Caenorhabditis elegans: one gene and its partners. The protein of the gene in region 1 purifies or fractionates together with the protein of each later gene. This does not show direct contact. Each region holds a gene or a part of one and is shown in the gene's direction. Other genes may lie near its edges. The genes, in order: vit-1, mrpl-41 and R09H10.5.

Region 1 (11,543 bases):
CAGCATTGTGTGAATATTTGTTTTACATTTTTGGTAGGTCTTAATTCAAAAGTAACTAGAAATGTTTACAAATTCAAAATTTTCAAACGGAATGATTGCAACTCTGAAATATAGAAATCATCAAAAAAATTGAAACAATTGAAAGCGATATCATAACTATCTGCATCGAATTATGAAAAAAAAACCGAGATATTTTACTATTAATTTACAAAAATGTTATGATTCACCGTATTTCCTCTATTAGTATTGCATTACCCTTTAAATAGAAATAAGGAACACGATTAAACCGAAATTGTATATCATGTAACCTGATCATGTAAGCCTAATAAAATTAGTTCAGAAAACGGTTTCAAAGCCCATATAATTTTAGGATGAAATTGATAAGTTTCACTGTTCACAGAGTTTGCATTCTTAACTTTTGACAAAGATACATTTTACAGGAACCCTACTGATCCCGATGAACTATTCCCCCAATTAACACATGAACCAAATCAACTCCGTGACAATGCACTTCTTCTCGCCAAACACTTAAACAGTTAACCGCCAAACAAACACATCATCCCACTATAATTGTTGAAATTCATTTTTTATTTTTCTCTATAATTTCGGTCTTGATTTGCAAATTGCTGAAAACGGACTGAATTCTACTGTTTATGGAACAATTTCCTCGCCACTTTCTTTGATTTTCGACCCTTGTAAGTAAGCGCGTAATAATTGCCTCCCGCATTTTTATGTATAACTGATAATTTCTTCTTACGTTTTTCTACTCCTCCTCCCTTTTTTCATGTCACCCCACACCAAAAATCATCAAAAATCGTTTCCTTTGTTACTGTACTATATTCCCGTTGGATATCGGGTACATTTCTTTGAATTTCCACAATTTCTCTGAACATTTTGTCATAATTCGTTTTATTGTTTGTCAACCCCATTTGACCACATTCTTTGTTTCAATATTTTCTTTCTCAGATTTTATTGAAATCAAATTTCAAAAAAAAAAAATCACTAATAAAGAGCAAACAAATTTAAAAGTATCAAGGAATATAAGAATATGTTATTGAAATATGATGTAAACAGTTTTATCTCAAATAGAGTTTTATAATCAGACAGAGTAAAGAACTCAAAGATTCCGGATTATCGGGTTATCAGTGGGTTATAAAAGTGGGCGGGACAGTGTCATGCGATTCAAGTTTTCGTCGGGCTGAGCACTTAAAATTTCCTTGTTGAAAGTCTGTATAAAATGAACGAGACAATCGTTATGATAACAGCACTTTAACTCTTCCCTTATCTTTCGGAATTTTCATTCATTTCATTCATGACAAACTTGCAGACTGCTGATTTCTTGATAAGGTTAGAATGTCGTTTTTATATTATTTTCTTTTTAGAATGAAGACCACCTTCTGCCTTCTGGCCCTTGTCGCCGTCGCTACCGCTTTGGCTCTCCCAAGCCAACAGGACAATGCCATGAGCTGCCTCATGTGCGAGGTCGGAGTCCGTGCTGCTGAAAACCCAGCTGACAGAGAAGCTCACACCGTTGAGGACGTAAGTAGTCAAACTGTTCGTTTGGTCATTATAGTGAATATGATTTTAGAAATTTGACGCCGAATGCAAGAAGGAACTTGGAATCATTCCATTTGCCGAGAAGGAATGTGAGAAGTACGGAAACTCCAAGCTTGACCCCATCATCAACGAGCTCGAGGGAGGAACTGCTCCAGAAGATGTCTGCAAAAAGCTCAAGGAGTGCTAATTCTTTATGTTTCTTTTTCTTCTGATAAAGTGTGAATGACCTTTGAAATTGTTTATTCAGATATGAACTTCAAATTGTCAAATATCAGCGCGCCTGAAACTGATAAATCTCACTAACTCTGAACAAAACTGACTTTTCGTGAGAGGAAGAGCAAAGTTAACTACAGTGGCAATCAAAGCTATAGACGTTGACTACCAAAAAGTGTCGATTCGGCTCTAACGTGACAACTTCTTGTTAGCTCCAAATTGAAAGCTGAAATAAACTTTTTTCGTATAAGGTTATCAGGTTATTTTCTACGCAAGTGTAGCTTGAATTGTAACAATTCAAGCCTACATATGTCAAAAATTAATAAACCGCGTTTAAAATAAAATTTTACCTAAACATTTAAATCTGAAAGATGAAGTAAACTCCGATGATCAATGTTTTTTTTCAGTAAACGTTTGAATTTTTTCACGTTCTTTGGTTGAAAATTTGAATCAAACGATTTTAATAAATCTCGACAAAACTTTGTCAGTGAATGCATTTATCTTTTGAAACAGGCAGAGGTTGTCCTGTTGGTAAGCAGGCTTGAATACCTATTCCAAAATCATTCTTGATTTTTGGTTTGGTAAATGATGTGACACTTCGTTTTCACATATTCAGTCATTTTGTAATGTGTTCTATGAAAAAACACAATTAAGGAAATAAGATCTGTTAATGGCTAAAGTCACACATGTCACACCAACTATAAAAAAAATACAGTTATTATATTCCACAAAATCTCTAGTAACCGTTTCTGTTTAAAAAACTATGTTTACAATTTCGGTTTTTTTTTTGTTTTTTTTTTGTTTACAAACCTCAAATTGTTCTCGTTGCACTTCACATTTAGTGAATAACTTAGAGAAAGAAATACAACAACAAAAAAACAAAACTTTATCACATAAGGTACTCTTGTGGATATTCGAATGTAAAACTTGCTGTTTCCTGCATGTCATTTGAGAGATAAAATTGTCACCTGAAATATACAATTCTTTGATATGTTAAAACAAAGTGCACTAGCCTTTATGCTCGACTGAAAAATTGAATCAACAATTATAAATAGCAACCGTCTTGTAAAACAATTTTGCGACTTAAATATATAACCTTGAAATAAATTAAATGGCTGAAACTTCAAAGTTTTCAACTTCATCACTACAAAAAAGTTTTTAAAAAAGTACTTTGAAAAAATTGGCTATTAGTTGTTAGCATTACACTTGAAATACTTGTCCTCCACAAAACAAAATTTCTCCGCAATTGTCATAACACTTGTCATAACACTACTATCAATTGCATAAAGACAATTTGTGCATGGTCAATCAAAGTTTGATGAAACACGTAGAAATACAAAAAATTCACATTTGATAGAAGCTATTTCTGAGATTCAGCGATAATAAAGTGAAAAATTATTGAGCAACTGTCAATGTGCCAAATTAAAGCCTTATCAGTGCGCTAAATGTTGCAAACCCTTCATTTCAATTCAGAAAATGCCAATCGAAGGTTGTATATAAGGTTACCTGTGAAGAGGAAATTCATTGTCCAATCATGAGGTCGATTATTATCGCATCTATAGTGGCTTTGGCCATTGCTTTCTCCCCAGCTTTCGAGCGCACATTTGAGCCGAAAATCGACTATCATTACAAGTTCGACGGACTTGTTCTTTCCGGCCTTCCAACTGCTTCCTCTGAGCTCTCCCAATCTCGTTTTTCTGCTCGTGTCCGTATTCAAGCTGTCGATGACCGTCACATTCACCTTCAACTTGTGAATATTCACATGGCCGCTTCCCACCTCCCAGAGTCCGAGCAGATTCCATCCTTGAACTCCATGGAGCAGCGCGAACTCTCCGAGGAGTACAAGCAAATGCTCAAACTCCCACTCCGTGCTCAACTCAGAAATGGACTCATCGCCGAGCTCCAATTCGACAAGGAAGATGCTGAATGGTCAAAGAACATGAAGAGAGCTGTTGTCAACATGATCTCATTCAACCCAATTGCTCCAAGAAACGAGATTGAGAAAATCGAATCTTCTTATGACAAGGAGGAACAATCTGAGGAAAACACTTCTTTCTTCACCAACGAGAAGACCCTTGAAGGAGACTGCCAAGTCGCCTACACTGTCATCCGTGAGCAGAAGAAGACCATCATCACCAAGTCCATCAACTTTGACAAGTGCACCGAACGTTCCGAGATCGCTTACGGACTTCGTTACTCTTCCGAGTGCCCAGAATGCGAGAAGGACACCGTGCTCATCCGCCCACAAACTGTCTACACCTACATTTTGGAAAACGAAGAGCTTAAAGAATCCGAGGTCCGCTCCCTTTACACTGTCAACGTTAACGGACAAGAAGTCATGAAGACTGAAACCCGCTCAAAGCTTGTTCTTGAGGAGAACCACTCCATCAAAAGTCACATAGAGAAGGTACGTTAATCCATAACTTTTACAGTATGTTCTAAGACAAATATTCTTTCAGGTCAATGGAGAGAAGGAAAGCATCATCTACTCTTCCCGTTGGGAGCAACTCGTTGAAGACTTCTTCAAGAATGGAGATAAGGCTGAGTTCGCCCCATTCGAGAAGTTCCCACTTGACAAGAAGATGCACTTGATCAAGACTATCACTGAGCAAATACAAGAAGTCGAGAACAACATCCCAGAGACCTCCCACTTCCTTGCGCGTCTTGTCCGCATTTTCCGCACCACCTCCACCTCCCAACTTAAAGAGATCCACGAGACTCTTTACGTCAAGGCTGACAAGAAGGTATACATTTTTAGTTCATTTTATAATTTACCTTGCAATATTCAGATCCAATCTTTGATGGAGCACGCTCTCGCTATTGCTGGAACCAAGAACACCATTCAACACATTCTTGTTCACATCGAGAACGAGGACATCGTTCCACTCGAGGCCGCTCAACTTCTTAAGTCCATCCAAGAGACTCCATTCCCATCTCAAACCATTGCTGAAGCACTCATCAAGTTCGCCGAGTCTCGCGTTTCCAAGAACAACCAGGTTGTCCGACAATCTGCTTGGCTCGCCGCCGGATCAGTTGTCCGCGGAATTGTTGACTACAAGAATATCCGTCCACTCGTCCGCGAGGACAAGCGTGAGCTCAAGGAGAAGTTCCTCCGCGTATTCATGCAACAATACAAGGATGCTGAGACCACCTACGAGAAGATTTTGGCACTCAAGAGCATCGGAAACGCTGGACTCGACATCTCCGTCAACCAGCTCAACGAGATCATTGTTGACAAGCGCCAATTACTTCCAGTCCGCAAGGAAGCCATTGATGCCCTCAGACTTCTTAAGGACACCATGCCACGCAAGATCCAAAAGGTACTCCTCCCAATCTACAAGAACAGACAATACGAGCCAGAGATCCGCATGCTTGCTTTGTGGAGAATGATGCACACCCGCCCAGAAGAGTCTCTCCTCGTCCAAGTTGTTTCCCAAATGGAGAAAGAGACCAACCAACAAGTTGCTGCTCTTACCCACCAGATGATCCGTCACTTTGCCAAGTCCACCAACCCCTGTTACCAACGTGTTGCTATCGTTTGCTCAAAGGTTCTTTCCTTCACTCGTTATCAACCACAAGAACAAATGATCGCTTCCTCCTACGCTCAACTTCCACTCTTCCTTCAAAACTCCTTCTCTGGAGCTCAATTTGACTTTGCCGCTATCTTCGAGAAGAACTCTTTCTTGCTAAAGGATCTTCACGCTTCTCTTGATGCCGTCTTCGGAGGAAACTGGAACAAGTACTTTGCCCAAATCGGATTCTCACAGCAACACATGGACAAATACGTTCAGATGGCTCTTGAGAAACTCGAAAGCATTGAGAAGGAGTCCACAACTGTTGTCCGCGGACGCCGTATCCAAACCGGAATCACGCTTCTTAAGGAACTTGCCCTGAAAATGAACATCCGTGCTCGCCCAGCAAACTACAACGAGAAGGATGCCTTCGCCATGGTCTACCTTCGTTACAAGGACATGGATTATGCCATCCTCCCAGTCGATACCCAACTCATTGAGAAGCTCATTGAGAAGTACATCAGCAACGGAAAAGTTCAGTTCAGCGAAATCCGCCGTCTTCTTAACCAAGAGCACGAGTTCGAGACTCATCATGCCGCTTACTTCTATGAGGCTATCCGCAAATTCCCAACCACTCTTGGACTTCCACTCATCGTCTCTGGAAAGATCCCAACGGTCTTTTCGGCTGAAGGACAATTCTCTCTTGGACTTGAGGAAACCGAACTTCGTTTGACCGTTGAGGCTCGCCCATCCGTTGCTGCCACCCACGTTTACGAGATGAGAATGTTCACCCCACTCTTCGAGCAAGGAGTCAAGAGCGTTCAATCCGTACGCGCCTACACCCCAATCAAGATTCAAGCCGTCGTTGGAATGAAGAGAAATTTCGAAATCGTCTACAAGGTTGTCGTTCCAGAGAACCAGAAATCGATCATCTCCCTCACCACTCGCCCAGTTGTCTTCCTTCGTTTCCCAGGATTCTCAAAGTTCGAATACATTGAGGCTGAAGAGAGAACCGTCGTTGTTCCACAATGGCAACAAAAGACTCAGGAAATTGAGAAGGTCTTCAACTTCCTCGGACTTGAAGTCTCCACACGCGGAAACATCCTCAACCAACACACTCTTGAAAACTGGCTTCTTGCCGAGCAAGACTTCGAGGTTTCCGTTGAGAACAAGTACCGTCCAGCCGAATTCACCGCCCGTCTCACCGTTGGACAACTCGAGAAGACCGAGCTCTCCCAAATCAAGTACAACAAGATCTTCGAAAAGGAGTTCGAGCTCGAACAAGAGAACACCGAGAGCCGCCGTGAGTACTTCACCAAGATGGTCAAGAGCATCCAGAAAGAGCAAGGATACAAATCTGTCGTCTCCTTGAGACTTGAGGCCCCACGTGACTACACGATGAACACCGAGGTTACCACCGTCTGTGACAAGCAAGTCCGCATGTGCCAATGGGAAGTTGAAATTCGCCGCTCCCCAATCCTCGAGGAAACCAAGGAATGGACTCTCCGCTCCCAACTTCTTGTTGTCCGCCCAGAGATGCCATCATCCCTCCGTCAACTCCACGATCAACCACACCGTGAAGTTCAACTCTCTCTTACCTCTACCTGGGGATCCCAGAAGAAGAGCGAAGTCACCGTCAACGCTCAACTCCAACAATCCAAGGAACAGAAGAAATACGAGCGTAACATGGACCGTCACTTCAATGGAATGCCAGAGTACGAGCTTTTGATCAAGGCCGCCCGTCTTAACCAGATCAACGCTGTTGCTGAGTACAAGCTCACCCGTGAAACCGAACAAGTTCTTGCCCGTTATTTTGATCTTGTTAAGGCCTACAACTACTGGACTGTCTCGAGCCGCCCAGAGAACAACGAGAATGATCGCGTCGTCGTTCAACTCACAGTTGAGCCAATGTCCCGACAATACGTCAACATCACCATGCAATCCCCAATTGAGCGCGTTGAGCTCAAGAACGTTCAAGTGCCACGTGTGTACCTTCCATCCATTGCTCAACGTTCCGTCAAGCACCTACTTAATGAGGCTTCCGGATCTGTTTGCAAGGTGCAAAAGAACCAAATCCGTACTTTCGATGATGTCCTCTACAACACTCCACTCACCACCTGTTACTCTCTGATCGCCAAAGATTGCTCCGAGGAGCCAACTTTCGCTGTTCTCTCCAAGAAGACTGAAAAGAATTCCGAAGAGATGATCATCAAGGTTATCCGTGGAGAACAAGAAATTGTTGCTCAACTCCAGAACGAGGAGATTCGCGTTAAGGTTGACGGTAAGAAGATCCTTTCTGAGGATTATTCTGCTCACCAAATCGAGAGACTCGGAGAGTCCGATATTGTTATTGAGCTACCAGAAGGAGAGGTTCGCTTTGACGGATACACCATCAAGACTCAACTTCCATCCTACAGCCGCAAGAACCAACTTTGCGGACTTTGCGGAAACAACGATGATGAGGTGAGTTCAGTCTAGAGATTTTCTTAAGTTATAACAAAAATTTTCAGTCCACCAACGAGTTTTACACTTCCGATAACACCGAAACCAAAGACATCGAAGAGTTCCACCGATCTTACCTTCTCAAGAACGAGGAATGTGAAGCCGAGGAGGAGCGTCTTTCTGAGAAGAAGAACTACAGAAAGTACGACGAGAGAAAGTACGAATCTGAAGAGTATTCTTTTGAGGAGACCTATGATTATGAGCAGGAAAACACCAATAAAAAGCAAAAGAACCAGAGAAGCCAGAAGAAATCCGGTAAGACATAATTTCAAATAATATCATATCGGAAACTTACGTTTTCAGATCTTGTCGAGAAGACTCAAATCAAGGAGTTTTCCCACCGCATCTGCTTCTCCGTTGAGCCAGTAGCCGAGTGCCGTCGTCGTGGATACGAAGCTGTGGAGCAACAACAAAGGAAAGTTCGCTTCACCTGCTTGCCACGTCACAGTTCTGAAGCCAGACGTCTGGTGAAGGAGGCTCGTCAAGGAACAGTTCAACTTGATGATCACAAGATTTCCTTTGTCCACTCAGTTCAAGTCCCAGTTGCTTGCGTCGCTTATTAATTCATAAGCTCGGCCGGCCTTTTTTTTCATAATTTTATAACTTCTGCTAATAATTGTCTTTCTAGTACAAGTTTAGAAATAAATTTTCATTAGTTTATTTTTAAGCTTTTGGAAACTGTTTCATATCCATCATCAAGTTGCAGAAATTTGGTAGAAACATCAAAAATTACTTATGGTTTTTTCAACGTTTTGGCGTAACAGAAAATAAATCGAGTTTAACATTTTAAAAAGAAGTTGTTAGTGTCTGAAATCTTATTTCCGATAATCGTGAAAGTTGATGATACGAATCTTCGGAATTTGAGAAAGATATACTAAACTGATAGAATTTAAAACGTTGCAAAGAAAATAAAACAAGTAAAGTGCTCTGTCATTTTTTTTCGGAGGTTTTTATTATTATGAAAATGAAATTAAAACAAGAAATCATGCTGATCATGCTGAAGATAAAATGGCAAAGATGAGGATTGTGAAGGCAAGTTTGGCAGTTCTGAAAAAACACAATAAGTATGCTTAGTCGATTGGTTTTTTTAGAATGAAAATTGGTTTTCAAATATTCCAGAATTTCGAGTTTTTTTGTATTCCTACTTTTCTTTACAACTGCCACATTTCATTTTGTAACCACTGACCTGTAGTGAAGCATGTAAACCGTTTGAAAGTCCACGAGTGGCTACAGTCTCGAGTTTAGACCCTGAAAAATTGATCTGTTTAAAATCGAATTGAAATATTTAAGATACCATATTTTTCTCTAGTAGAAAAAGCACTCGTTTGTGAACCATGTGTTCGTAACTTTTACACTCCAGATTGCCCATGATGCTTCTCTGAAAACAATTTAAAAGTGGCTTTCAAATTGATATCTTTCTACTTACGCATTCATCAAGCACACCATTTTGATTATCGTATGTCTTATTTAAAAGATTATTCATGGCGTTGGTAATGTCTTCTTCGCTTGGTGGTTTAACATTTTCTTTGTCTTCTGACTCATTTTCGGCTGGGGGACTATGTCTCTTGGTTTTTGTGGCTAGTGGAACAGGAGCTGTGACATCGGTCTTTCTTTTTCTTCCTCTCCTGGATTTTGGCACCGGAATTGTGCCACTTAATTTCCCCTTGTCTCCACCTCCTGTGCTCGTTGTTGATATGGGTGCTGTGGGATCCATTTTCGGTTTTCTTCCTCTCTTTTTAAGCTCTTTGGACACATCCTTTGGAACTTCAGATGTTGATGGTTTTCCAATCCAACCTCTACATGCTGCTTCCCCACATTGACATGGTTGGTCACTAAAATTTTAAAAGTTCTGTAAAGTATAAAAAGGTCTAGCATAACAAAATCAAATTGTGATTTATTTAAAATTTTGGGATTTTTTATCGGGGTTCGGAAAATGGAAGAAAAAAGAAAAATACAAAAGATTTTGATAAATTGTTTTATTACAGTTCATTGCCAGTATGTATTTTGTCGCAATGAAAAAGTATACTAAAAACTCACTCCAAAAAGATGGGTATTGTTTTCAAAGTATTACAAAGTCAACTTACTTTCTGAAGGAGGTTCCATAGTCAAAAGTGATCTCTTCTCCTGGTTTTATGACTTTCGATGCAAAAATTCCCAGAGACTTCATAGGTCTATCCGGCACGGTCCACACTTTTACCAAAGCGTTTGGATTGCAGGAATGATTGATGAACCGTGCCGAATTCCCTTTGCGTGTCGGGTCCACATAGTAATTTCTTCCCACTTCAAACGAATAACTGTGCTTGATTCCATCTTTTTTATAGCGCTTAACGCGTTTATTGTGCTCGGCCTTGGTTATCGCCTCTCCCCGATACTCAAGGATTAACTTGCCAGTAGCAATTTCTTCCGTTGCTCTGAGCCCATGTCCTATGCCATTGTCAGTGAGGAAAGTTTCAACACCGCAAAACTGTCTTTTGCGAAATCTTTGATTTTCGCAATTTGAACATCCTCGGGGACATTCGCGATGATTTGCGAAATTGCTACATTCCTCCGTGGTGCAGTCCGTGCCGCATTTGCAGCTGAAAAATGTTTACTTAAAGAATATAAGAATATTCAGACAACGAGACAAGAGTTAATCAATCTTCGATATAAATAAAATTTTCTCAAAACTTTGCATACTTCAAAGAAAGACTAACGGCTCTGTGTATTTTGAACTCGAAAATTTGTCTCATGGGCTCACGAATATTGTACTGAAATTTCTCAATTTCTCACAAATTTTACAAAAAAAAGTTTATTACGGTTCACAATTTCGAAAAAAATTCAGTTTATTCTAGCGAAAGTCTTAAATTTTGCCAACCATTCCATGTCACGGCTGTTGGAAATTAACTTTTATTTGATTATCATCTTTTATTGTAATTTTTGGTTCCTCGTCTCACATTACTTTGACTTAAACTGATATGTAACCAATGTCGATGATTTTTGGTTACCTGTGGGAAAATGTGCTAAACTCAAGATTCTGTCTAAACTCTATTGCTTCAATTGTATTTCTTATTTACAAAAAAAATTTAACAAAACTAACCTTGTCACTGTGAGCAATCCAGTTTTTCTTTTCGGACTGCAAATGAAACTGTAGTCCATCCTTCTGGTATTCGGGAAAAATTTTGGATCGGTCTGAAATTTTTATACAACAGATTATTCGTATTTGTCAATTCAAGGTGTATATTGTTGATATAATATAGTTTCCATACTAGTCTTATTTAATATTTTTAAGTTTTAAATTCAAGGTTCTCTTAACGTGTTGGAATTTTTTGTTTCAAAACTATAATTTGAGTTGATATGTTCTGTTTTTATATAAAAGCTATGTTTTTATGAAAAATTTAGGTGCTTGATAAGTTTGCACGTATGTTAGACCTGTTTGACATATATTTTCCGTCAATTTTGTCAAAAAGTAAGGTATTTTCTTGTAGAAAACTGTTTCCGTTTCAATCAATATTTTGTTTGTAACCAAATCAGTTTTTTGCTCAGATCTCATGAAGTATCTATATTTTACAATAAGAATCTCAGCCATAATAACATTAAAAGTCGGAAACAAATTAGAAAATTAGACAATAAGCATATTATTGAGTGAGAAGTAAACTAAAACGGTCTGGATATGGAAGGCTAGTTTTTCAAAATAAATCTTGCTTAACAACTCACATTGTAGACAAACACTGAATTATTTTTCTTGGTCAACTGCGTCTTTTTGTTTGTGCTAGCTCTGGT
Region 2 (7,560 bases), on another chromosome or scaffold:
GAATGGCATTGGCGCATTTATCGTTTTTGCGCTTATTTATTTGATTTTTTATTTTCTAGAGCAAAAAAACCTTTTAAACAATCAAATTTTTCAATTTTCCAAAATTTTCAGCGTTAAATCTGAAAATTTCAGCTAAATTTCGTCTAAAACTCGCAGGTTTTCATTGAATTACCTATAAAATCTATAATTCTCGAGGGATTTTCATGAATTTTCAGGTTTCAAAGTTTTCTCCGGAGAGCGGCAGTAGTTTTTTTTTCCGATTTTTGGAATAAATTAAGTTATAAATATGCTTGTAACTGAAGTAAACACATTGTTGTTTAAAAAATTGAAAAGAAAGCAAGAGCATACCTTAAAATTGTGGATTTCAACTGTTTTTTCTCAAAATTCGCCTGAATTTCACTGAAAATAGCCCGATTCTCCGCCAATTTTCACCCTAAAACACCATCGAACACACGCTTTAATCACATGTTACTTTTCTCTCTCTCTCTTATCACTCTTTCCACGAAAAGTTCTCTCCAAAGAACGCGCAAAAAGCGTTCAACCACACATTCTCTGTTGATTTTCACCAATTTTTCTCGTTTTTCAGTGAGTTTACATTGTAAAATGTTGCTCTTTGCACATTTTTCTCACTGAAATCTGTGAAAATTCACTTTTTCCTTGAGTTTTAATGAGAAATTCTGCGTCTCTCCCTATTTTCCTGTTGATAAGATCCGTTTAGTAACATTTTGACCTTGTTTTTGTGGTTCTCCGGGCGAAAATATCGATTTTTACCCAATTTCTGTTGATAATTGTGCCGTTTTCAGGAAAAAATGTCCAACGAAGGAGGAGTGCCAAATGTCGTGAAATTCGCGTTCGGAGGAACCGCTGGGTGGGTTTTCGGAATATTTTCAGTTTAAAATCTTTAAATTGTCTTGAAATCGTCAAAAAATATTCAATTTTTGCAGAATGGGAGCGACTTTAGTGGTACAACCACTAGATTTAGTGAAAAATCGAATGCAATTGTCTGGAACAACAGGAAAAAAGGAATATCGTTCATCAATGCACGCGTTGACATCAATTATGAAGAACGAAGGAGTTTTTGCCGTTTATAATGGACTTTCTGCCGGACTTTTGCGTCAAGCAACGTATACAACCACGAGATTGGGAACTTATGCATTTTTATTGGAGAGATTCACTGAAAAGTACGGGAAAACACACTTTACAGCTAAAAAATAGCAGAAAATTGACTAAAAAGCGCGAAAAATGTTCCTTTTTCTTTGAAAAATTCAATTTTTCTTTAAAAAATTTTTTTTAGAGACAAGCCCCTATCATTTGGAATGAAAGCTGTTCTTGGAATGACAGCTGGTGGTATTGGATCATTTGTTGGAACACCTGCTGAAATTGCACTTATTCGAATGACTGGAGATGGACGGCTTCCTGTTGAACAGCGTCGTAATTATACAGGTAAAAATGAGCTTGAAATTCGTTCAAAATTGTATTAAAACAGTAAAAATTACTTTAAAAAGTGGAAAATCATTGATTTTCATTTGAAAATTTCATTTGAAATTTAATTTTCGTCACAAGAAACTTAAAATTACCGTTTTTACAATAATGTCTCATTTTTATCGAAAATTTCTTACAAAAAATACCGGATTTCGTCAAAAATCTTAATTTTTATTTGATGAGTTTGGGTCTGCTAGGCTGCAAACTACAAATTTCGATTTAGCAGACCAAAGTGGTTTTGAAGAGATTTGGTCTGCTAGACTACAAACTACAAATTTCGATTTAGCAGACCAATGTATTTTGATGAGATATGGTCTGCTAGACTACAAACTGCAAATTTCGATTTAGCAGACCAATGTATTTTGATGAGATATGGTCTGCTAGACTACAAACTACAAATTTCGAATTAGCAGACCAATGTGATTTTGAAGAGATTTGGTCTGCTAAGCTACAATCTACGATTTCCGATTTAACAGACCCAAGTTTTAAAAATCGCATTTTGTTGGAAATTGTTGGAAATTCCAAATTTTTCATTTCAAAAATTGAAATTTTAATAAAAATTTCTCATTCCAGGAGTCGTCAATGCCCTTACCCGTATTACAAAAGAAGAAGGTGTCCTAACTCTTTGGCGTGGATGTACACCTACAGTACTCCGAGCAATGGTCGTAAATGCCGCCCAACTTGCCACATATTCCCAGGCGAAACAGGCACTTTTGGCTTCTGGAAAGGTTCAAGATGGCATTTTCTGCCACTTTTTGGCATCAATGATCAGTGGATTGGCAACTACAATTGCATCGATGCCTGTCGATATTGCAAAAACGAGAATTCAATCAATGAAAGTTATTGATGGAAAACCGGAATATAAGAATGCTTTTGATGTTTGGGGAAAGGTAAATTTAACTTTTAAAAAAATGTAAAAATTCGAAAATCTAATTTTCCCGTTTTTGCTAAAAAGTAGGTTTTCACTCGGATATCCCCAAATTTTAAACCAAAAATTTAAATTTTCCAGGTCATCAAAAACGAAGGAATCTTCGCCCTCTGGAAGGGCTTTACCCCATATTACATGCGTCTTGGACCCCATACCGTGCTCACTTTCATCATTTTGGAACAAATGAATGCCGCCTACTTCCAATATGTGCTCAAGCGAGATGTGACCAGTGCCTTGTAGAATCGATTTTTCAGCTATTTTTCGACCAAAAAATCACAGTTTTATTATTTTTTTTGAACATAATTTTATGCTATTTAGGTTGTGTTGTGTACACTTTTCAGATTTTAAATTTTGGCCAGAAATTTTGTTTTAGCCAGGAAAATTCAGTATTTTTTCTTCAGTTTTTCGTGTTCATACCAATTTTTTCTTGTATTTTTTTCTGCATATAAATGCAATTTTTAATGATTTTCAAAACGTTTGTTCTCTGTTTTTTTTTTTGGTTTTTTCCCGCTTCTTATATTTTTTAAAATTCTATTTTCAGGTATTGCAGGCAGGGCTATTTCAGCCAAAAATCCATTTTTTCTCGATATTTTCATTTTTAATTTTGAAAAATCCAGATTACCATTCAAAAATCGACTTTTTTCTTAATTTCCATATTTTTAAGCAAACAATCGAAAATTTCAATTAAAAAATCCAATTTTTCAGATGAAACTGGTGCTCGTAAGCACTCGTGGAGTCCGTTCACTCAATTCAACCAATTTTCCGGCTCCATGGCCATTTGTGAAGAAAGGAGCATTTGGACAAAGGAAAATCGGTCCAATGAACTACGAAAAATTCAAATGGCCCGGACAGAATCGCGAATTTCCAGAACTTTCTCCGAAATTTCAGAAATTGAATCCAAAAGAGTTGCATAGGTGTGAAATTTTGTAATTTTTTTCAATATTAACCCCAAACGTTTTAAGACTTTTAAATTTCTCATCCAGACCACTTGGGTCTGCTAAATCGAAAATTGTAGTTTGTAGTCTAGCAGACCAAATTTCTTCAAAACAAAATGGGTCTGCTAAACGACAACTTGTAGTTTGTAGTGTAGCAGACCCAAAGTTTTCAATTTTCGCAATAAAAATTAGAAAATGATGAATTTTTCAATTTTTCAGTAGGAAAATGAATTTTTTTCAAATAGAAATTAGCAAAAATTCAAGTGTTTTGCAATTTTTGTGTTTTAAGACAAAAGTGCGTATTTTCATATTAAATCCTGAAAAAATCGGAACTTTCGGGGAAAATTGATCTAATATCAAATTTTTGAGTGAATTAACATTGTATTCCAAAAAAAAAAAGAATCAAAAATCTAAATTTTAAGCTGAAAACAGGCAATTTTTATATTGGTCTGCTAAATCGAAATGTGTAGTTTGTAGTCTAGCAGACCAAATTTCTTCAATATCACTCGGGTCTGCTAAATCGGTATTTGTAGTTTGTAGTCTAGTTTGTAGCAGGCCCATCCTCGATTATTTTCTAAAATTTTAATTTTCCAGGTACACCGGAGTCCAGGCGGACGGATTTCACGACGAAAAGACTGGAGAGTTTGTACCGGTGAAAGAGATGCGATCAGAGCTTGTTGTACCGAATTTGGATGGTTTCAAGTACGATTTAAGGGATTTTCAAATGAAAAATTCACGAAATATGGGTAAAACCCATGAAAATTGACTTTTTTTTTTGAATTTTCAAGTTCAGTTTCAAGTTTTCAGACTTCGGCCCTACGTCTCCTACCGTACAGATGTTCAAATCGAAAAGCGACGAGTTGCGTATGAGAAGAAAGTTTTGGAAAAAGGATCCGAACGATTGGCTGATTTACATACTGTTGAGGATGAGAGGTAAAACTAAAAATTTCTGATTTTTTTTATTTGAAATTACCTGAAAAAAAGCAGTTTTGTAGATTTTTTGCCCAAAAAATTGAAAAAAAAATTAAATTTTCCAGATGGCCACCACCGAAAATGTCAGCTGAAACATTGTTCGAATTGGCGTACGGCGACACTGTCCGAAGTGCATACAAGGAGGGAAAATATGGAAATAAATAATGTTAAATCGATTTTTTTTTCATAGATTTTTCATATTTTATAGCGATTTTTCTGTTATATTTTTTGTTTTTGTTGAAAAAAAAATTTCCCTTTTTTTTCTGTATTTTTTCCTCAAAATTCGAGTTGTTTCCCCTTTTTTATATTTAAAATTTTCAGATTTGAAGTCAAAAACCAAGAAATTGACTAATCTCCTAAACATAAACTTAAAAAAAAACGTCAAAAACCAAAAAATTTTAATTTTTAAAACTTACTTTTGAGTTTTTTTCCCTTTTTCAGAATTTTTCAACTGAGCAACTTTGAAAAATGGCTCAAAAATCGGCTTTAATCATATTGGCGGCCGAAGGAGCTGAGGAAATGGAGGTCATTATCACTGGAGATGTACTTGCTCGTGGTGAAATTCGTGTGGTTTATGCCGGATTAGATGGAGCCGAACCGGTACGGGAATTAGCAGAAAATTGTAAAAAATCTAGAATTTAAAAAATTAAAAATTCCGAAATCCCAAAAAAAAAAATCAATAATTGAGGTATTTTAACCCCAAAATATGTTTAAATTTGAGAAAAATTCAGAAATTTCAAATAATTTTTCTTTTCGAAACCAGTCAAAAATCATAAATATTCACATTTTCCAGGTAAAATGTGCTCGCGGAGCCCACATCGTGCCAGACGTCAAACTCGAAGACGTGGAAACCGAAAAATTCGATATTGTGATTCTTCCAGGCGGCCAACCGGGCAGCAACACGTTGGCTGAAAGCCTACTTGTCCGCGATGTTCTCAAGAGCCAAGTAGAGTCTGGTGGGCTGATTGGAGCAATTTGTGCAGCTCCAATTGCACTCTTGAGCCATGGAGTCAAGGCAGAACTTGTGACAAGTCATCCAAGTGTTAAGGAGAAACTCGAGAAAGGAGGTACAGCTGGTTTTGCACTTTTTTTGGTGAAAAGTCGCTAAAAATCGAACAATTTCATAGGGGAGCCTTAACTATTCATTAAAAAAATCTACATTAGGCAAAACTAGCGAATTTTTCACTTGCAACGTGGCCTGGAAAAAACTCGGCCACCGAATTTTCCGCGGCCACTTAGTGAGATCCTATAACTTTCATGACTTATGTGTTTCTATCCAAATTGATGGTATGAATATCGGTATTCTCGGCTGAAACATGCAATAAATACCGTATTCCAACCAACAATTCGGTGGAATAGAGCACATTTGTCACTGGGGATGCGGAAGCTATGCCCAAATTTTCATTTCTCCCCGAAAAACTTGTGATTTCCAGGCTACAAGTACTCGGAGGATCGTGTTGTTGTCAGTGGCAAAATCATCACCTCTCGTGGACCCGGAACTGCCTTCGAATTTGCGCTGAAAATTGTGGAGCTGCTTGAGGGAAAGGACAAGGCCACCAGCCTTATTGCTCCGATGCTCCTGAAGCTCTAATTCTTCCCGTTTTTTTTTCGCTGAATTTCCTCTTGGTTTATTGTATATTCGTCACAATTTCACGTTTTTCCCACACCTATAAATTATACATTTCTTTTTTAAATAAAAAATCTAGAAAGCTCCGAGAAAACTACAAATTTGTTTATCCAATGACAGCAGTCACCCGAGTAACGAGGACATACTCTGATGAGCTTAATCAACAGAGCGCGCGCGCGAGCAACTTAAAATGACTTCCGCGGTTATTTCCCTCACGAAACTTTGATTTTTCCTTTTTTCTCATTTTTCTTGCGAATTTATATTATTTCCTAAACTTAAGTGTAAGACGTGTAAGCCTAAGCCTATCCTAAACATAAGCCTAACAAAGTAAGCCTTAGCCTAGCCTAAGCCACAGCCTGAACCTAAGCCAAAGCCAATGCTTAAGGCCAAGTCTAGCCTATTCCTAAACCTAAGCCTAAGCGTAAGCCTAGCCTAAGCCAAAGCTGAAGCCTAAGTCTATCCAAAATATAAGCCTAAGCGTGAGCCTAGCCTAAACCTAAGCCTAAGCATAACCCTAAGCCTAAGCCTAAGCCTAGCCTAAGACTAGCCTAAAACTAAGCATAGCCTAAACATAAGCCTGAGTCTAAGCCTAAGTCTAATCCTAAACCAAAGCCTAAGCCTAAGTCTAGTCCTAAACCAAAGCCAAAGCCTAGCTAGTGAATCAAGTCCTGAACCAGAGAACTAACTAAGCCTTGAGCCCCCAGAAGCCCGGAGTTACCTCCAGTGCCGAAATTGACCGTCTTGGACTCTCTATTTTCAGATCCTGACGCATTCTGACCTTGATAATCGGCTTCTGACTCTCTTTTGTGGTCTTTTTTTCCAATTTTCAGAAAAAGCGATGATTTTTTTCCGGATTCTGTCACGTCAGAGATGTTGCAAGTCCGAGAAACATGACATTTTTTGTATTTTTGATTGTTCTGATTTTGATTTTTTGAATTTCCACACGAAAAGTGGTTGATTGAATGCCAGAAGATATCAGGATTTTTTGTTTAAAGAATCATCATACTTCCGTCTTTGACAAATCTTCGATACAATTTATCGTAATTGTGCTTGGCCATTACGGTTCATTTTCTATCATTTAAAATATCCTAGTAGGCCCAAAAAGGCTTGATCTACGTAGATCTACAAAAAATGCGGGAGTTTAGACGCAGAGTTCTCAACTGATTTCGCATAGTTAAGAACGTGCTGACGTCACATTTTTTTTGGGGCGAACAATTCCCACATTTTTTGTAGATTTTTTGTAAACATTTTTTGTAAACAGTGATCGGACAGCCTGACACCACGTGCTCTACCGTTAAGGTTACCTCCACCGACATCTTGCCTGTGCATGTATACATTTCTTTTATTCACTAAACCCTGTTTTTTTTTAAATTTTATAATAGGAACCGTAAGTTAAGAATTTCTGACTGAGATAAAAAAGAACTGCAAGATTTCAAGAGAAAAATGGTTTAGTTTATTCAAACTGAACTTTATCCTCCAGAAAAAACCTGATCACTTTAATTTTCTTCAATTAGCATTGATCTCAAGAACTGAGCTCGATTATTGTCGAAAACAAAGCGAGATGTTACATTATTTTATAAATTCATTTTGTGCGATCATTGTTGATTTCTCTGGAG
Region 3 (11,581 bases), on another chromosome or scaffold:
GAAAGAAAAGAAAACAACTTTGAATAATAACATGGAAAGCTAACCAAAACAGTATGTAAAATATTCATAAAAATCGCCGATTAGTGATTGGTTCGTGCCGATATGAATATCCGTCCTTCAAAATTCGCAAGCCACAAGATAAATTTCCCAGTTTCCTAATAGTAAGAACAAAAAGGGTCAAGTATACCGATAGAACACGTAGAATGTTCGTATAAATTAGTGTTAGATTGCCGTTAAAAAGTGAGACTCAGAATTAAAGTTTAAAATATGTATTAGGAGTGTATTTATTTTGGGAGTTTAATTAATTTACAAATTAAAATTTTTTTCATAATTTGTATTTTGCATCGGTCATTTGTACCAACCCAATTTCCATCTAGATACAGTTATTATATCCAAAGTCGCTTCAGAGTACGCTTACAGCACTTTTCTAGAAGTGTAGTATTTACATAGGTTCCCTAAACTTGGAAAGTGAATTCAAGAACCCAGAAAGACCATCAATATCATTCAAAAGCCGGCATTGACCAATGTTAGCTGAACATTCGCTGCGCGAAAATACTGAGGCTCTGAACCAAAACTTCAACCAATACGCCAAAAGGACCGACGCAATTTAGTTTAAAATATAAGTGTAGCCGTATTCAAGGAGTTATTAAATACTTTCACTCTACTAATTGATTTAGTTTTACAAAATCTCCAATTTGAATTTAAATTTGCAATTAAATTTTAACTGTAAACGTTCTTTACCCACACCAATACAATACCGGGTTTTTCTGCTTTTCCAAACCTTTGCCACTTGTTTCACAATGCGCTTAAACTCCACTTTAGGGCAAGAGCGTGTATAATTTACAGATAGCCGCACCCATTTTTTTCAGTTTCAGGTTTCAATTCAAAAATCAAACAAGAAAAGTGATGATTTATGGCAAAAGAACAGTATACTACAATTGCCGCCGGAACTTATCATCTTATCTGAAAAAATTGTATTGGGTCATAATACAAATTACCACGTTTTCACTGCGTCTTTTCTTCTATCTAATGTTTTTTTTAAATAATGAAATATGATAGTTTTGATCGATATTATAAACAATCACATCACCACTTTCACTTTCTCGCCCAAATTTATTGATAATCAATCATGATGATTTTTCAAAAAACTCTCAAAATTTATTTTTTCTTATTCTTTTTCCCCACCTTTTTGACATTTTCATTGGCAATTAACTGTTATGCTGGTAAGTTATGAGTTCCACGTTTTCCTTTTTCATGATATATGGTCTGTGATAAGAAGACACGAAACAAGAAGCACCCATACACCTTTTGATAAGATATTAATTGGCAGGTAGCAGAGGATACATCAACGGAAAACATATTCAAAACTTTTTCAATGAGACTTGTGATGATGGAATGAAGTACTGTGTGGAATCTTATAGTGAAGATTTTGATACGGTCACCGCGAGTTGTCAGACGTTGAGTACAAGCAGAAGAATCCTGAATTTGTGCGAGGTATTCAAAGGCCCTTAGATTTTAACTAAAACCATTGAAAATAGTTTAAAACTGTCAAAGCGACCGTAATGAAACCCACTGAAATAAGTTTTATCGCATTTTGCTAAACATAAGCTTTGGAATTTTCAAATTTGGATCCAAGTGAGATTAATTTATGAAGTGATCACCAACCTTGCGTGCGATTTTAAACAAAATTCAAGAAGTTTTAATATAAAAACGTGATTTTCTATAGTCATTTGACTAGTTTGATCAATTTTCCCACTGGCTTTGCAACGCCTTTACCTATTCTAATAATCCAAACTATTATTACAATTCTGAACCTTATTTTGCACCTAACGAAGTACGTTTTGTTTGCAGAGTCTGCATGAAAAGGTTCAGAGTAACAGGATTTTCTGATTTATGCACATTTTCTTTGTATCTTTGCAGAATTTTCATTTACTTATTTTTTTTAGCAAAATAGCAAAATTAAATTTACGAGCTACACTCTACTTTGTTAAAAAATTGTTTTAGGATATTTGAATAACAATCCTGGTGATATAAATTTTCCAGTAACATGTGAAAACACTTTTTCAAGCATATAATTTGTAATCTGATCAGAAAAAATATTTTCTAGACCACCGTGATATTCACGTGCACATACACCACGAAGAAAGCTTGTTTGTGTTCCATTGAATAATTATGAAATAATTCGCAAAACAATTATTGCGTGCAACCTTCTATTAGTGCATTTTGTTTGATTTAACGTGCCAGGTACTCGGGGCAGCCTTATCAAATCTATTTCCAGCAAAACTTTCATCATTTCCAGCTGACTTCATTAAAATTACCACTTCCGAAAGTTGTAAGAACTTTTGATAGGGTTTCAAAAGACTTATGTGACGCATTTTTCAATACTGGTAGATTAGGCAAAGTAGTAAAGGGGATTGGCTATTAGAGTCTTTGAGCACAGATCACAAGTAGGTTACGCACTGAGGCTACACGTGTCAAACTAGATTTAAACTCAATAAAAGGGGGTTCTTGAACAAAATTCAAATGAATTGATTTTGCTTCTACTTTTACAGTTTTTTAAATATTTGTTATCTTCTGAACAATCTCCATTTCTGATCTGTAAGATCAAAGGATTTATCTATTTTGCAAAAAAAAAATTACATATTCGCCGAACTTTGAGCTTGTATAATACAGAAAACAAAACTGTTTCCTTATGAATTTTTTGAACCATGTTAAATTAATTGACTAAAGTTCAGTAGAGAAATAAGATTATTTTTATTTTTCAGGGTGATCGAGTTTCCACAAACATCGGAGTGACAACGAGATGCTGTTCGGAAAACATGTGTAACGATGTTGGAATTGAGAAAAGGACCAAGAAAGATTCAAGTGCAGGGAAACAAAAAATTGAACATTAAATTCAATGAGCGTTTTTTAAGTTGAAAACAAAGTTCGAAAACCGTATTTCTTCTATTAGTATGGCTGTGACTAATTCTCAAAGGGGCAAACTTCAGGACTGCAATGGCAAATATCAATATTAATATCAAGATTTTCCTGTGTTTCCGATTACTACTTTTCATTTACTTACTGTTAAAATTTCAAGTAGAATCAAAAATTTCAAGATTCAAAAAAAAAGATGATAATTGCTACAAGAAATAACAATAATTCCAATTTTTATCATTCGTGAGGTGGTTTTCTGACAAAAAAAATGAAGGCAGAGAAAAATACATACAGATTGACTGAAAATCAAAAATTCCGGAATCCGGATCTTTGGCAATCCGTAAATCAAAATGCAATGTAATCAATAATGCATTTTTCAAATATCCAACTTTCGTTTTATTTCTCCAAAAAAATTTAATAATAAGAATTGAATACACATTCGATAGCGCCCCATTTAATTTATGATTGTACTTTATATTTTTGAGGACCCAAATAACCAATAAAAGTTTCAAAATGAATAAATTCATTGATAAGCTAATGGGCGAGTACAGGCTAATAAAAACTGCAGTTTCCGATAAGCGATGCATGCCATCGAGTTGCCGATTTTGACTTCAGTTCGGTCGTCAGAGACCAAACCAAAATGGCGCCTGCTACAAAGGCCATTGGATTGCTACTGGTTATTATAGGATTGGGTAATTTTTTTAATGTTTTTCAGTTTAAAAAATACCGTATTTTTCTTATTAACGTTGAATTTTCGTTTCCCCATTTGACAGCTCCTTGTTCAAATTTGGTTCTGATTTAAAAAAAAATTAAATTTATGTTGAATCGGTTCCAATGTAGAAAGTGAATTATAAAAATAAATAAATAAAGAGTTATAATAACTGTAATTTTTATCCAAGTATTCCAAACAAATTAATTTTTCATAGACAAAGTTTGTCTGAATTTCAAATTTCAAAACGCAGAAACTTATTTATTGGTTTTCAAAAAAATTTGATCACCATTTACAGCCGCTGGTGTTCAATATGAAATTCGTGGTAACATTGATCTCATCAACAGTTACGATATCCATCCGGACTATTACAATGAAAAATCATTCACGGAAAAGTTGAACAAAGTTTCGGAACGGGTGAGTGACGGTGCATTACACGAATTTATTTTTCAAAAAATTATTTTCAGTTTTCACAAGTTGTTGGACCAGATTTCAAAGAGTTTTTTGTTCATGATTACAAGTGAGTACTGGAAATATTTAAAGAAGATGTATTCTGAATGAGGGAATTGCTGAAAAGTTTAGTTGAAGAAATTTACAATTTCTTTTGATTCTATAGCATCTTTTGGAACTGGAACTTTTTTATTTTTAATTTCACCATTTCATATATCTTTATTCAAATACAAATATGAAAAATACAGAAAATTTCGAAGAAGTTGTTTTATTAATTAACTTGAAGTAGTTTATAAACTGAAACAAATTTAGTTTTTGCAATATTTTGTTCAAATATAACATTTTATTGAGAAAATTTAAAATATTAAAATAAATCTGATACATTGAAAATTTCTTTATTTACATTTTGGTCCATTTTTCACACATTTCTATACACACACAATAATAAGATAATGTTTCCACAGTTATAATTTAAAAACAAGCAACTCATTTCCCTCTACCGATCAAAAAATTTCAAAAAATCATTCATAAATCCAGAATTCACGGTCAAGACACCGCAGTCTTCCATGCTCGTCTAACACTTGTCTCATCTCTAACAGTTTCCCGACAAGACATCATTGACCAAATCGTGGCGACGGACGACGTGCAAATATATTTCTTGCGAAAAAATGGTATGGTTGAACTCTATCATTGTGCCCCGTTTGTTCATTAATCAAATTCCGCCTTTCATCAATGTTAATTTTATCTACACTTGGTGGTGGAAACTGTAAAATATGTATTCTTCAAAGCGCAAGGTCGTAAATTTTGTGTTGCGTCAGAATGTGCAGTACACTTATTATTAACACCTAACATCAATTTCAGAATTTGAAGTACAAGGGGACAGTGTTTCGAGATTCAGAGTAGTTCGTGCTGACGTGAGCAATTGCTTGCATGGAGGTATTTTATTGCCAAATGCTACCTGTTCTTGCTTACCATACTATTCTGGAGCTAACTGTGAAGTGGTGACGTATGTTTTTATATTTGAATGTTTTAAATATAAATTTTATTTTCAGTTGCCGCAACAATGGTATTGGATCAAGTGGAAGATGTTCATGTCCTCCTGGATTGTATTCTGCTCATTGTGAAGCAAGTATGCTTTCAAAATCAATTTAAAAAATCAATTTCTGAAAATCAAAGTTTTCAGGAACTTGTGTCACCAAGATTGACTCCGTCGTTGACTTCTCGTCTCAGTCACTCATTATTGCTATCAACACTAGAACATCGATGGCATACGATTTGAGCATGATCATTGAAAATATTCCAACATTGGTGACGGATTACCAAAGTCAAGGAGTCATTCTTTCGAGCTTCATCGTCACCGTCTACAGATATACAAGTTAGTTTTAAACATAGTTTTGGTTGAAAACTTCAAATCTCAGAATCCGTATACTTCATGGAAACGAGTGCCTTCACAACATCCGATGCTATGATTGATTACCTTCACAGTGTGACCATTGCTCCATCATCTGATGATCAACCTCTTCTTGACGCTATTGCTAACTCTCAATCCACGTGGGTTTTAGATATTTTCAATAACTGGAGATCTTCAATCAACTTAAATGATATAAAATAAATGTTTTCAGCCAGCCAACAATGAGACCAAAATCAACTGTTTATGTTTTTGCTGATTCTGAGAACTTATTGGATCCAACTCCCTCAACGCTTCTCAGTAGCACAAATGAAAGCATGGTCATCCAGCAGACTCTTGCCTGGAGAAATAAGGTCATTTAAAGCTACAAACTCGTATACTTTTTCCATTTCAGATTATCTTTGTTCTCTCCCAAACGACATCAAGCCCAATTGAGCCAACTGGAAACCACTTCGATGTGCTCCGCAGAGTCGCTACGGCTGCTCATGGAGACATTTTGATGATTGATAAAACGGAAATTGTCGAAGTGAGATCATTTCTTATAACTCTAGATCAAAGTTACTCAATTCTCAGGTTCTCACTCATCTTCTTTTCTACACAATTGGTGGACAGAATACATATGTGCAATACTACAATAATGTTGCCAAAAATATTCCAGTGCAGTCGGATACACCAACACAAACAACATATATTATGATGACAGTTGAGAATGGAGAATCACGTTAGTCAAAAAATGGAATCTGCAAAATTGATGTTTTTTTTTTCAGTTCCAAATATTCAAGACACCAATGGTAACACATTGAAGCCCACATCCTCTGGACGAAGATTTGCTGTGAGCCTGAGTTAAACTATCACCTATCACATAATAAAAATAGGTTTTCAGGTTTATCGTGTATTCCAAAGTTCAACCACATCAGTTACCATCACAGGAGACACAATTCCACTTCATAATACTCGTGTGTGGTTCACTTCAATGGACGATGTTCTTGTGTCATACTCTGAAGATGATACTGTTGATAACAATTATGCTCACACATTCAATGGATATTATCAACGGCCATCTCTATATTCTTCGTTTGCTACAACTACAAGTCTCTCAGTTTCAACCGCTAATTCTGTCACTTCCGGTGTGATTTCTGCTGCTGTTACAGCGACAGCAAAAGCAACATCATGCATCTTCCAGTACCAAATCGCAAATGCTACTTCGTGTACTCCAGGTCCATATGTTCATAATGTGGTTGTGTCTGCTTCCGATGGAAACAAGTACCGTGCAGTTCCAGGATATTGCTTCACGCCAGGTATGTAGTCTATTTCATTTTTCCGATCAAATACGACATTTTTAGATTCCCACATGGCCGCTCCGTGGTCATGTCTCAACAACGGAACCCGCTCCGGAATAAGCACTTGCTCATGCACAGCCAACTGGGGTGGACTTCACTGTGAAGTTCCAAAATGTGTGAATGGAGGATCACCTGACAAGTTCCCCAACGGTGGTGGTCATGGAAACTGCATTTGTCCATTTGGTGTTTCTGGAAGTTTCTGTGAAATTTGTAAGTTTTTCAGTCTTCTCTGAAATCAGATTCATACCTTCACTTTTTTAGTGACATGCAGCACCACATCCCCCGACACCTTCCAATCTTACAATCGGTCATTTGCTGTTGTTGTTCAAAACTCTTTATCTGCTAATCAAGCTCTTGTGCGGCTTAATGATGGTCTCCGTGCAATGCTCAATCAAGGACAGTCTAATGATTTTGAAGATTTTGTGCTTACGACATTCAAGGCTAGAACAGTCAACGGAGCATCATTCCCAGATGTATCGTCGTCCAAGTTCAGCTCAGCATCTGCTTTCCTTAACGCTACCAACGACATTGGAATCGGATATTCATATTCTCCAAGTGGACCTCAGCCAGGACTATTCGCCTTGGAAACTACAATGAGATCAATGGATTTTGATAAATCCTCAATTTTCTTCTTCACTGATTCTGCGTCTTCGGTGGTGGAAGCTTCGATGAACTTCTCCGATATTGTGTAAGTTAAGAGTATTAAAAAGTTGTTGTTTGTGAATTTTTATATGTATAAGAATGGTACCATATTTTTTTCCGTCAACCTAGATTTCGATTTTTATCAGTTAATATTATTTAGAATACTTTATCTTTCTTCAAATTGTTTGTAATGTCCGTATCTTCGATCAACTGAATTTCAGTCAAACCGCAGTGGAACGTCAAATTGAAATCTCTGTAGTCATCATTCCACCATATGGATCCACTGACTTCTGTACCGACATTGGAACATATGAGATTTATGAAATCCTTGCACAACAGACTGGTGGAAACTTTATCAATTTCTGTCAACCGTATACTACAAACGGAGATCCTGTGTTCAATGTACGTTTGGAAGATTTAAATGTAAAATAAATTCTCTGAAATTCAGTTCATTGCTTCGTATGGAAGCACTCATCATCACACAGAGGTTGTTGCTTACTATAATGTTATGGATTGTTCGCTTTTTGCATCCCGTTCGTTTTATATTTCAAGCGCCACAAATGATGCATATGTTGTCGTTTATTCTCGTAAGTTGATCAAAACCAATTACGATTCATGCGAAAATTTTCAGCTACGATTCAAAACTTTACTGCTTCCGTTACTAATAATGGTGTATCGCAGTCGTTGGTTGCTGATTCACATTCAGTGCCATTCTTTGCCAGTTATCAAATTAAAATCAGTGCTGGATCTTCGTTGCAATATGTCCTCCAACTTTCCTCTAATACCAAGGCACAGTGCTTTGTCAGAATCACCGAGCGCAGTCAATTCTCCGCTTACCTTGGATTCTCTCCTGATCCATCATTTGATCGTTTCAGTAGAGATCTGACTTATGCAACTCATCAACAGCCAGTCATTCATCTTTCTTCAACTCTTCAATCTGATCCATCAATTGATGTCACTAGTTATGATAACAACAATAACATTGCTTTTACTTCATTGTTCACTAAACGTACATCTGGATGCAAGTATGAATACATCATGAATCAAGAATACACTTGCCAAAGTGCTGGAGATACATTCACAATGGAAACTACCATTACGACAAATGAAGTGACAATCATGAGAACTCAAAGAGCTTACTGTAGTGATTTGATTGGATGTATCAATGGAGGAATCATGTTGGGTGGAAATTGTCAATGTGTCAATGGATACACGAGTCTTCACTGTGAAGTACCAACATGTCAAAATGGTGGTTCGGTAGTAGACTTTAAGTGTCAATGTCCTTCTATATATGATGGAGATTCTTGTCAATACACAACCTGTAACACATGGAACTTTGTAGAGACTCATGATCCAAGAGAGTATAACTTCCAGCAAATTGTTTTTGTCGTCGAAATCAACACCAAGAATATGATCCTGCCAAATTCGTATCTTTTGAAGAATATCCAAGCATTTGTGGATTCTACTGATGACGTAAATGTTCCAAAGCAATACACTCTTGTGACCTTCGATGACACTAACATCAAAGTTGTTGCATCTTCCACGCGAAAAGATGTTTTCTTGGCAGCCTTCCAAAAAGGTATCACTGTTTCAGTGAATAGTCCCACCAAAGTTAGAGGATTGGAAGCTATTAACACTGCATATGCAACACTTGTCGATCTTCCTGGAATTGTTTATGTGTTTACTGCAACCAATTCAGCAAGCAATCTCGATGCAGTCAGACAACGTTATGGTGTTCAGGTGAAATTTTGAATATATTATCCTTTTTTTGAAATTTTTGTCGCTCTAAAGATTGAAAATGAATACTTAAAACTTCTGAATTTACTTACAGGTCAACATGATTTGGATGGGAGCTGATCTCACACCTGTAAACGTAAACTATTATTATGCAGCCATTGCAAGACAATCAAATGGACGAGTCCTTCCAGTCAGCCCACTTCAAACTCAACAGGTTATTTAATCAAAAGGCTTCGTTTTTCCAAGCAAGTATTTCAGATTCTGAGCGCTCTTACTCCAACTGTCAATGAGAATCAATTGATTCTCGATGATGCCGCCAAGGATTGCAGTGCTGGAGTGAACTTCCAGTTCCCAGTCGGAAGTTTGGCTACGACACTTACACTTGTAGCGACTGGAACTGGCGTTTCAGTTACTGTCACAGATGAAAAATGTAAATTTATTTTGTATTATTTTCCCAGTACTTGGACAACAAGTGCATCTTTTGATTTTCAGCCAACAACGTCGATTTGACCAACTCCACTACCTTCACCGATGTGAACACCTTGATCAGAACAATCAGCACATCTGGACATAATGCAGGCACCTGGAGTGTTACAGTAAAAAGCACCGGAAGTTGTTATCTTCAAGCTAGAGTCAACTCGCCACTTCAAATCATTCCACGTTTCACCAACGATCAGGGGGATGACTTCGGAAGTGGAACTCCAAGAGTTGGTGCTGGAAGTACATCCGCTTCTTATATCACTTTCCGTGTAATGGACAGTTACAACTCTGATTCCCACAACTTTGGTTCGACTATTCTAACTGTTTCATCAGCTAATACTGACCCTGAAACTCCATGGGAAACTGGAATTTTCACAAATGCAACTGTTCTTGTTAGAGACCCAGTTAACTGTGCAAGCCAGTTTGTGACACCGCTCATCACTTGGACTTCAACTTACATGAAATTTGTCGTGAGAGGAAAGGATTCTAATAACAACGATTATCAGCGAACTTTCTTCTTTAATAAGAGTGGAAACAAAGCCGGTCGGTTCTAACTCCTAGTGATTGTCGAAACAGAATTAAGGCGTGAGTTTTTTAAATCAATCTACTTTTTTCAGATTGCATGAATTCTGCTACTGTAGACACTTATGGTTTCTGTCAATGCGATGCCAATCATTTTGGAAATCTATGCCAACTTAGAAAATGTACGAATGGAGGAGTATCAGCTTATGGACTATGTGACTGTCCAAATGGTTACTATGGCGATTATTGTGAACAATGTAAGTTCTGTTTTCTTTAGTTCCACACTAAGAACATCATAATTTTTTCAGATATCTCGGCTTAAACGATCAAAGGATTAATTGATGGCTTTACTGTTTAAATTTTTAATACTTTTTTCAAATTATAATGTTTTCAAAACAAAAAGAAGCGGTAAAAATGCAATAACACGTAACATTAATCACACTAAACAAGATATTAATTGAATTTTATGTAGAGATTAGGCAGAGATCTTCAGAGGAGGATCATGAGACTTCAGGAAAAAGGCATCCCGAACTTCAATGCAAGCTTCCAGTTGATCTTCCAAGTTTTGTTCAGTTTTGATATTGATTCCAAGAATAACAGATACAATTATAGTGGTAATAAGAAATAGAATGAATAATACAAAGAACATGATTGAGTACATCTTCAGTTTTCTGCAAATTCAGCGAATTTAAATTTTTTTAAATTTAAATATAACTTTTTGACCATTTTTTAGGTTGTTTTGAAATTCAGGTCTCAACTTGGTTATGCAACTAAATTTGATTTCAACTGACAGAACTGGTTTTGTAAACTTTGAAATTTCTTATATGTGTTCAATATTTTGATAATACTCCAAAATGTTTTTTTCTAAAAAAATAAGCTACTTACCTAATAAGAACTTTATCTTCGCTCATATCTGGCCTTGTAGGAAGAATTCCGTTGTACGAGGATCCACTGTTGAATTCGGAAACTTTCATTGTTGAAATTGGAGTGAAGTTTGAAATAAGCGAGAAACGGTTTTTTGGACACTGTCACAAAGTAGTATGTAGATTTTATTTTATCATCACTGACCCGATTATCACTTATATATGTCTCTATTCCAGCAATTTGCATAATCGTTTTTCAACAAAACTTATTGATTCTGATGACACCCACTTTTTGTGATAGATCATACTTCGAGGTTTGATGTGCTTGTGTTATTCACATGATTCATGATTAGTTTTATTTCAGTTTTATTTTTTAAACAAAAATCAATGTAAAGAGACAAATGAGAGAAATGGAAACAGGAAGACTCGTATTTGTGAAAGTAAACACTGGAAAACGGCGGAAACTTCTGGAAAAAAACTATATGGAAAGAGATCGGAGAAATGGTGGAAAACA

The links.
Region 2: the proteins of vit-1 (region 1) and mrpl-41 purify together in Caenorhabditis elegans (affinity purification with mass spectrometry, with the first as the bait; one large-scale study listed by BioGRID). This does not show direct contact.
Region 3: the proteins of vit-1 (region 1) and R09H10.5 fractionate together in Caenorhabditis elegans (co-fractionation; one large-scale study listed by BioGRID). This does not show direct contact.

Annotation. Positions count from the first base shown.
Region 1 is NC_003284.9:7,724,597-7,736,139, forward strand, and holds vit-1 (Vitellogenin-1), read left to right. Parts: upstream 1-3,292; 5' UTR 3,293-3,304; coding exon 3,305-4,177; intron 4,178-4,229; coding exon 4,230-4,514; intron 4,515-4,559; coding exon 4,560-7,745; intron 7,746-7,792; coding exon 7,793-8,039; intron 8,040-8,087; coding exon 8,088-8,347; 3' UTR 8,348-8,572; downstream 8,573-11,543. Other genes in the region: K09F5.6 (Protein tincar), read left to right, coding at 1-13; spp-14 (Saposin B-type domain-containing protein), read left to right, coding at 1,384-1,539, 1,589-1,744; set-12 (SET domain-containing protein), read right to left, coding at 9,012-9,032, 9,079-9,162, 9,211-9,616, 9,869-10,360, 10,861-10,952, 11,478-11,543. UniProt on the Caenorhabditis elegans protein: Precursor of the egg-yolk proteins that are sources of nutrients during embryonic development. Together with other vitellogenins, may play a role in modulating life-span, acting via induction of autophagy and lysosomal lipolysis.
Region 2 is NC_003280.10:285,824-293,383, forward strand, and holds mrpl-41 (Large ribosomal subunit protein mL41), read left to right. Parts: upstream 1-3,115; coding exon 3,116-3,324; intron 3,325-3,780; exon of another isoform or gene 3,781-3,835; intron 3,836-3,939; coding exon 3,940-4,047; intron 4,048-4,152; coding exon 4,153-4,278; intron 4,279-4,382; coding exon 4,383-4,482; 3' UTR 4,483-4,563; downstream 4,564-7,560. Other genes in the region: misc-1 (Mitochondrial 2-oxoglutarate/malate carrier protein), read left to right, coding at 810-868, 945-1,181, 1,295-1,443, 2,056-2,372, 2,492-2,650; Glutathione-independent glyoxalase DJR-1.1, read left to right, coding at 4,786-4,917, 5,111-5,384, 5,751-5,908.
Region 3 is NC_003282.8:10,620,790-10,632,370, reverse strand, and holds R09H10.5 (EGF-like domain-containing protein), read left to right. Parts: upstream 1-3,541; 5' UTR 3,542-3,556; coding exon 3,557-3,608; intron 3,609-3,923; coding exon 3,924-4,042; intron 4,043-4,092; coding exon 4,093-4,145; intron 4,146-4,612; coding exon 4,613-4,746; intron 4,747-4,936; coding exon 4,937-5,081; intron 5,082-5,127; coding exon 5,128-5,204; intron 5,205-5,258; coding exon 5,259-5,450; intron 5,451-5,493; coding exon 5,494-5,626; intron 5,627-5,697; coding exon 5,698-5,836; intron 5,837-5,877; coding exon 5,878-6,009; intron 6,010-6,056; coding exon 6,057-6,204; intron 6,205-6,250; coding exon 6,251-6,315; intron 6,316-6,366; coding exon 6,367-6,781; intron 6,782-6,826; coding exon 6,827-7,033; intron 7,034-7,084; coding exon 7,085-7,511; intron 7,512-7,686; coding exon 7,687-7,867; intron 7,868-7,913; coding exon 7,914-8,052; intron 8,053-8,096; coding exon 8,097-9,205; intron 9,206-9,296; coding exon 9,297-9,416; intron 9,417-9,460; and 9 more. Other genes in the region: F56C4.4 (Activin_recp domain-containing protein), read left to right, coding at 1,130-1,223, 1,331-1,494, 2,766-2,894; R09H10.7 (SEA domain-containing protein), read right to left, coding at 10,680-10,875, 11,090-11,178.